Linked DNA regions of Oreochromis niloticus. The protein of the gene in region 1 interacts with the protein of each later gene in a pairwise test. Links are inferred from orthologs where the notes say so. Each region holds a gene or a part of one and is shown on either strand. Other genes may lie near its edges.

Region 1 (3,922 bases):
AGTAAAATCTGTGCGAGACGATGGCCCATAAGCTTTTCTGTCTACAGTTTTACTCCCAGACTCACGCTTGGAAGCAGGCGTGTTGTTTATGCGGTCTGCCTGTACAGTCTGGTAGCGTGACAGTCGCCTCCGCTCTTGCTCCACCTCATGCCTTACAGATTCAATCTCCTTGTTGATCCGCTCCAGCTCATGAAGGCAGTCATCTCCACAGCCCGTATAAGGCCTCTGTCCTTCTGTTCAACGTGAACATGAAATAGGATAAGTATTTACTTAAATGTAAGTGGCAGCTTGATCATTTGCAGTTTAGTTTTTAAGCAGTTTTTGTGCTATATGATGTGTGAAGATCCTATCGTGCCCCTTTAATGAGAAAGTAGAACTCAGGAAAACAAGGTAGAAGGTAGTTTTTTTTAAGAAAACACTTGTCCTTACCTGCAGTTACAATAATGTGCTTAATTTTTATGTTACACCTGTAACTTTAAAAACCCTCTTAATCGATTTAAAAGCTTCTTATAATTCCCAGGGTTTATGGGGGTTTTCTTAAACAATTAAACCCTTTTAACAGGTAAAACAGCAAGCTAATGCACAAGTGTTCGAAGTCAGTTGGCATAGTTGAAGCACTCACCTGTGAAGTCCACTTTGGATGATTCAAATGAGACAGCAAACCAGTCCCGCGCCTGCTTTGCAGGATGTTTGTATAAACAGTGAGGCCGCTCACAACGCCCATGTTGTGAGAAGGGGCAGTTTATACCGGCAAAAAAGCCCGAGGAGGGAAACATTAGCCACTTCGCGCAATTTTTTTCGCAGTTTTTTTTTTTTTTTTTTATAATTAACGAACGGACGTTAGCAGTTGGAGCCTCCAAATTAACGTCAGGTGACGTCAGCCTCGTTTATATAGGTTCTGCTCAGGTCGCGTGACGACTGTTGAAAAACTCATTTTAATACCCTCAAATAACACATTATTCCGTAACATTTAAAAATTTTGATTTTATTTATTATGTTTGCAAATTTAAAAAAAAAAATGCATTTATAGAAACTTTTTTTTGTAGTTGCTGCGTTGCAGTAACCCCTCCACGTCGAGAGACGGCAACGTTGCACGTAACTGAATTGGGACCTACAATGAAAGAACTATTACGACAACAACAGCAGCAGTAGTCGTAGCAGTCTATATTTCTGCAAAATTTATTAAATTTGCGAGTTTTGAGATGGAAAACAGCGAGGATGAGGAGGATGAAAACGAGTGGAGGAACAGTTTCGTGGATTCATCGACACATAGCCCCCCTGCGGCTGCTGCTTCAGGTAAACTTGGAGACTTAAGCTAGGCAGTCTGAAACTGAAATCTGACAGTTGCTCTTTGCTTTCATATGACTTTCAGAGTTCGAGATATGGTAACTGTTGTACATATAATGTGTGTTTCAGGACCAAGCATCAGTAAAACGCCAGTACCTGCACACAGAGTCATTTTGCATTTTGACCTGGACTGCTTCTATGCTCAGGTGGAAATGATCAGAAACCCTGCACTGAGAGAAGTCCCGTTAGGTAAACTCGCATGCTATAAAAGCTGCAAAAGACAAAAGTGTAAAAAATATTTGTGCCAAAGCTTCTAAATGACTCTCATATCATCAGGTATACAGCAGAAGTACATCATAGTGACCTGTAACTATGTGGCAAGGGAGAGGGGTGTCAACAAGCTTATGTCTGTGACTGATGCTAAGGAGAAATGTCCTGAGCTGGTGCTGGTTAAAGGAGAAGACCTCACGCACTACAGAGAGATGTCATATAAAATGACAGGTAAGCAGTGCATCACACCAGTGTGACGTGACAACAGTGCTCTGTAGTAAATAAAGTAATTTTTTTTGTCGTAGTGTGCAGTATGACATTAAAGTGCACTCTGAGAAAATGTAATTGTAGTTGCTACAATAAAAGAAGCTTGGAAGATCAGACCAAGTGCTAAAAATGGAGATTAGGGTCGCACCATAGCAATCAGGTTGGACTTTGGTCCACTGCAGCATCTTAATTCTTTTCTTTTTCAGCCATTCTGCTGTAGATTTTCTTTTCAGGTTCTGTGGCTGCAAAACAAGCCCAGATTAGCACCATGCTTGACAGCTGGTATAAGGTGTTTGCGCTAATATGCTGTTTCTTTGATTTACAGCCAAATATTTCCACTTTGGCTTTGAAAAAAAAAAGTCATCCTTGATTTGTGCTGAATGCTTTTTATAGAGGTGGTCACACTTGCTGATGAAAAAATAATCACCTGCATTTGATTTGCAGCACCTGGCTGGTACTTTACCCTCTTAATTCCTATGGAGGTATTCATGTGGTGGTATGCTTAGTTTTTTACAGGGCTACATAGAGTCCTGTAAAAACTTTTCACATGACTGAGAGATGTGGGTAACAAGAGGGCCTTGCTGTAACTTCTTTTGACTAGCCATTTATGCCAGATGGTGACATGACCCTTAAAGTTTATCTGGGATGCCGTTTTTCTCCGGTGACTAGTGTTTGTTTCTATGACATGGACTTATTTTCAGCTTGTAGCAAGCAAATTAAATAGTGAGCTGCTTAAAGCAACAAGGTATCAAATTTTGGAGTCGGTCTCTTAAAGAAAATCATGATTTGGGCAACTTTTAAATGCCACAATTCATAATAAAAACAACCCTTTTTGACTCAACTGCTAAAATCTCCCATTTCTACATTTCAGCATTTGTTTTCCTCAAGAATGTAAACAGTTTTTAACCCACTGTTTGGTTCACCACCCTCCTGGTGTTCCTGGGTGGTTACTAGAAACTAAATGGAGTAAATGGAATTGATGTTTTCATCTGATAACCGTTTGTATATATTTACCTTTTCTCGTTTGCCATCCAGAGCTGCTGATGTCTTATTGTCCTCTCGTGGAAAGGCTTGGATTTGATGAAAACTTCATGGACGTCACTGAGATGGTAGAACAAAGGCTTGCACAGACAGTGAAGTCTGAAGACTTTTCATTTAAAGGACACGTCTACAATCATCCAAGTAAGTCACATTCGTGCTTCTCAAGTGTAGATGTACATCTGGCCCACTGAAACTGGGAAATGGCTCGTGAAAATAGCTCAAACTCGTGAGATATTTGCATAGTGCTTTCAGTTTCGTTCTTCATGAACAGCTCACCTGCAGATCCTAAACTGTATCACGTGTGCTCATACCCACAGTTTTTCCCCTTCCTGTTCAGGTGCAGATGTTAAAGCCAGTAACTACCCAAGGTTGGCTTTAGGTTCACACATTGCAGGAGAGCTCAGAGAAGCCGTCCATAGCAAACTGGGCCTGACCGGCTGTGCTGGCATCGCCACAAACAAGCTGCTAGCCAAACTGGTTTCAGGCACCTTCAAACCCAACCAGCAAACCACTCTGCTCCCAGAAAACATCAGTGACATCATGGGCTGCCTAGGCAGTGTCCGCAAAGTGCCAGGTATAGATGCTCTAAAAGATAGTTAATCATCAGTAGATGGTAGGTAGGTGAACAGAAGTACATAACATGATATGCATCGAGAAACCCGTGTGGTGTCCTCGGGATTCCCATATACTTGTTTGCCATTCACCTAGGGACCATTTTTGACCCGAGGACACCACAAGGGTTACGTTTTAATGACTTATAGTTGTTACACTGTTGTCCTTAACATTTGGAGCATTTTTAAAGATGCTTTCATCCAAAACTCACTGATGCATTTTTGTTGTGTCTCACATGTGTTAAGTATGTCTGATGATATATTTTGTGGTGCCATCTTGTATTCTCAGGGGTGGGTCACCAAACTGCTAAGAGACTTCAAGCCCTGGGATTGGTCAGTGTAAAAGACCTGCAGCTGTGTCCGCTGAATGACCTGGTGAAGGAGTTTGGGAGTCCCACTGCTCAGCGTTTGAAGAATCTGGCCCTCGGTGTTGATGACTCACCTGT
Region 2 (3,922 bases), on another chromosome or scaffold:
TGTAAAGTCAGTCCTTCCTGAGTGATGTCTCTTGTTTACAAAACTTCCTCATGTGCAAACCAAAGGGCAGGAACAATGCAACCAGTGTTGATGACTGATATTAACAACAGTTAAATGAATCAATGTTAAATGAGCTTAGATGCCATGGTACTGGCCGCACACTTTATGGGAAAGCCGTCCGTGCCAAAGGACATGCCCGGGCAGGTTCTCTACTGTTGACAGGTAGGTCACAACGAGTCGCTATAGGTCACAGCATAGCCCCATGTGGCACTTTGTCACTTCTTTCAAGTACGAGCTAGGTGGACGGCTAACATTAGCCTAGCAACTCTAAGCGGTTTTAGCTGGTTAATAATGCATGTCGCTACGCCACTAAATGGTATTATAAATTAAGGATCAGGAACAGTTTGAGTGTTTTGCAGACTCTTGCTAACAATACTGGCAGAATTAGCAACCCAGCGTTAAACAGCGCTATAAGACTATGCAACTTTAGTGTGGCGATAACCAAGGCTGTAAACAAACCAACCTTCCTGAGTGGTTGCTCGCAAAGAGAAGTGCTTTACCTTGTATCCTGTCAGACTTGGTTGTTAGCCACAGACTTCTCTCTGCAGATACTGCTCAGCTCAAACGTTGTGTGCCCACTGATTGGGTTAAACGAGGTAAGACCAAAGCAAAGCGAGATGAAAATCCTCTAGACAGTCAGATCGAGTCCTCCGCCTCCCCGATTCTGTTATTCCGAGGACTCCTTTTGGTGAACCGAGGTCCCCTTTATTGTGTCATGCTGCCACGCCATGTCTCTTGAACATTTTCACTCACCCTCCCAGTCCCTTCGCTCTCCATTTCAACCGCCTGAATCCCTTTGCTTTCTTTTCTCTCTCTCAGTAAGCACCAATGAGCAAGGTAAAAGTAGTTCCGGTAGCAAAAATTTCAAAATAAAAGTTGTCGACTAGGCTGTTATGTTTTTCAGGAACAAGGGTGTGCAGAGCTGCCATGAGGTGTGATAGATGGAGTCAAGATGGGGTCGGATTACATTAGGGATCAGCTCTGAGCCCTTTCTTGTTTGCAATGATGACGACCGACAGGTCAGGCAGGAGTCTCCGTGGAACAATATGTTTCCAGATGACATGATCTGTAGTGAGCCTGGTCAAGTGGAGGTATGCTCTGCAGATGGAAAGTCAGTACAAACAAAACAGAATACATGTGTGTGAATGAGAAGGAAACTGCTTTGTGGAAACAGTGAAGCTGCAAAAAGCAGATGAAGTGAAGGTAGATAAGTTTAAATACCTGAGATCAACCATGCAAAGCAATGTGCAGTGTACAGGGGAGGTAAAGAAGGGAGTTCAGAAGTGTCAAGAGTGATTTTGAGATAAAGATGGCAGCAAGAGTGAAAAGGAAGGTTTACGAGATGCTATGGTGTATAGTTTGGAGATGGTGACACCAATAAAAAGACACGAGCTGAATACGCTAGATTTTCACTGGGACTGACCAGGATGGACATGACTAGAAAGAAGTACATCACAAGGACAGCTCAGGTTGAGCGATTTGGAGACAAATGCAAAGCAAAGCTGGCATGGCTTGGACATGTGCAGGGGAGGCACAGTGGATATACTGGACAAAGGATCTTGGACATGGAGCTGCCAGTCAGGAGGAGATGAGGAAGACAACAGACAAAGTTCTTGGAGAACATGGAGAGTGTTGGTGTGACAGAGGAGGATGAGGGATAGGGTCAGATGGAGGCAGATGATCCACTGTGGCGACCCCTGTATTGAGCAGCCAAAAGAGGTAGAACAAAAATAGACCACTATGGGAACATTTTGTGTAAGGGAGCAAAATTATGTGGAATTTAATTGACCTATACCTCCAGTGTAATTTCTTATGGTGTGTCTGATTACTCACATATATACCGCACTGCAGACATGAGCTTATTTTACAATATCCAGACTGTTAACACGGTAGTTTTATGTCATATTTTAAACTTATGGAAAACGCACACTCATAAGCTAAGATAACCGTTCAGTATATTCCAACATGTGGACAGCATTTGATTTTCTATAGTTTTTAAAAATGTATTTCTGTATGTATGATATGCAGTGTAGAAAAAACACCAAATGATAATTGGTGCGCTTTCCTTAAAATCAAACACACATTTCTATATATCTGTTGATTTAAACTGAAAAGTTTGCCTAGCATAAACCGCTATTTTCAAAAACAAAATACGCCCAACTTCCGGTCGTCGGGTACCCTTTCAGGTAGCTTGACGCATCATCCCCGGCTTCTTGTTTTCAGCACTGTATACAGTATTTGCTTGAAGCTGCGATGCTGCCACTACGCGGACAGTCACGTACATGTCACCTGGACTGTCTATAACAGTTCATGAAAGCTCTGTGCAGTTTTTAACCCACTGGCGGTGCTAATTTACTCACTCGGGAGCCGAAAACCGGGTCGCCGGTGTGAAGCTGCTATTTTGTCGCTGCGACCTTCGGTTATTTCAGAGTGACGCTGCTCATTTGAACTCAGGAGGGTTTGTGTGCAAAGTGTCCGCTTTTCTGCGGCACAACAGCGGCTGGCGGAGCAGTCTAGGGACACGCACACATCCACCGGTTTTTTTCCACGGTGTGCGTATACTGTCTGGCTCCCAGCACGGTTGTCCTCAGATGGCCGTTCATCTCACAGGCAACTGACGGCCGTGACGCAGAGGCACGTGCAGCACGAACGAGGATGTGAACACTCGTCCGCGCGAACCTGCTCTCTATTTTAACCGTAGTCCTGCATAATATTAAAAACAGCGCTAGCAAAAGCAAAGACGGGGTGGAGTTTCCCCCATCGCTAGCAAAATAAGTGGGTTGGACGCTGAGGAGCATAAAAAAATAGTCTGGGCCCTGTCTCCTCTTTAGTACCTTGTTTGATTTGGACACTTAATTAAAGCTTTCCCATCTTTGATCGGTTTGTTTAAAATATAGACTGCAACACAGGAGCTGGTGTTAAAGGAAGTGTAAATAAAGTGGGTCATATTTTTGAGGGGGATAAACATGTAGTCTGCTACTGATTGTGTTTGCAGACCTCGTATTTCACTGAAAGCAAGGATGCTACTGACCCAAGCCTGTCCCAAAAAGCACCCCCACCCCTTATTGGTTGTTCTCTGTTGCTATGGTACCAGACATCGGATGCTGAAGCTTCATGCGCGACATCTGTGTTGGTGCAGCAGGAAGTGGTGGAGTGGAGTGATGGAGAGTGTAACTTGGTGACTAATGAGGCTGACTTTCACTCAGTGTGAGTGTTTGTGTTTATGACTCATGTTTTGGGGAACATAAATCTGTTTACAGTCACATTGTGTGGACCTTCCTCTCTTGTGTGCAAATCATTGAACTATGACTGTGTGTGCGTGCATGAGTGTCTGTAATGGAAAAAAAGCCCAGAAAAGATCCTCCTCCAAATCATCAAAGGAACCTGTCAGCAAAGGTATAATCAGTATAATGAACTAGGTTTCCTAATGAGAAACATTCATAAGAAAGTGTGTCCATCTGAGCAGTCCTTATTCACAAGTAAGGTCAAAAATATGCAAAGTAGCTTTCTATAAACGTACACCTGCACTCATTTAAAGGTTCATTAAGTACACTGAAACACATGCAACACATATTGCCTCTGATTAGCCACCCACATCTTTTCTCTCAAGTAATCTCACCATTGGGGTAGAGCAGGCTGTCTATTAATCAGAAGGTCAGTAGTTCAATTCCCAGCTACTCCAGTCTTCTTGGGGATGATATTGAAACCTAGTGCATCCACTGGAGTGTGCAAATGTTAGACAGGGTGTGCTTAGGTGTAGAAAAAAGCACTTGTAAGAATTTGTGTGTGACTGGGAGAATGAGGCTTCTAGTAAAATGCATTTTGAGTGCTCCGAGTAGAAAAGCACTATATACAGCCATCA

The links.
Region 2: the proteins of poli (region 1) and rev1 interact in a two-hybrid assay, tested with the Homo sapiens proteins (2 studies listed by BioGRID). The link is inferred for Oreochromis niloticus from reciprocal best matches to the Homo sapiens genes POLI and REV1.

The regions. Positions count from the first base shown.
Region 1 is NC_031977.2:28,645,304-28,649,225, reverse strand, and holds the start of poli (DNA polymerase iota), read left to right. Parts: upstream 1-1,005; 5' UTR 1,006-1,202; coding exon 1,203-1,296; intron 1,297-1,416; coding exon 1,417-1,536; intron 1,537-1,623; coding exon 1,624-1,788; intron 1,789-2,859; coding exon 2,860-3,006; intron 3,007-3,202; coding exon 3,203-3,439; intron 3,440-3,765; coding exon 3,766-3,922. Other genes in the region: RNA exonuclease 1 homolog, read right to left, coding at 1-233, 623-776. UniProt on the Homo sapiens protein: Error-prone DNA polymerase specifically involved in DNA repair. Plays an important role in translesion synthesis, where the normal high-fidelity DNA polymerases cannot proceed and DNA synthesis stalls. Favors Hoogsteen base-pairing in the active site.
Region 2 is NC_031987.2:21,426,312-21,430,233, forward strand, and holds the start of rev1 (DNA repair protein REV1), read right to left. Parts: upstream 2,965-3,922; 5' UTR 2,421-2,964; intron 1,159-2,420; 5' UTR 561-1,158; intron 1-560. UniProt on the Homo sapiens protein: Deoxycytidyl transferase involved in DNA repair. Transfers a dCMP residue from dCTP to the 3'-end of a DNA primer in a template-dependent reaction.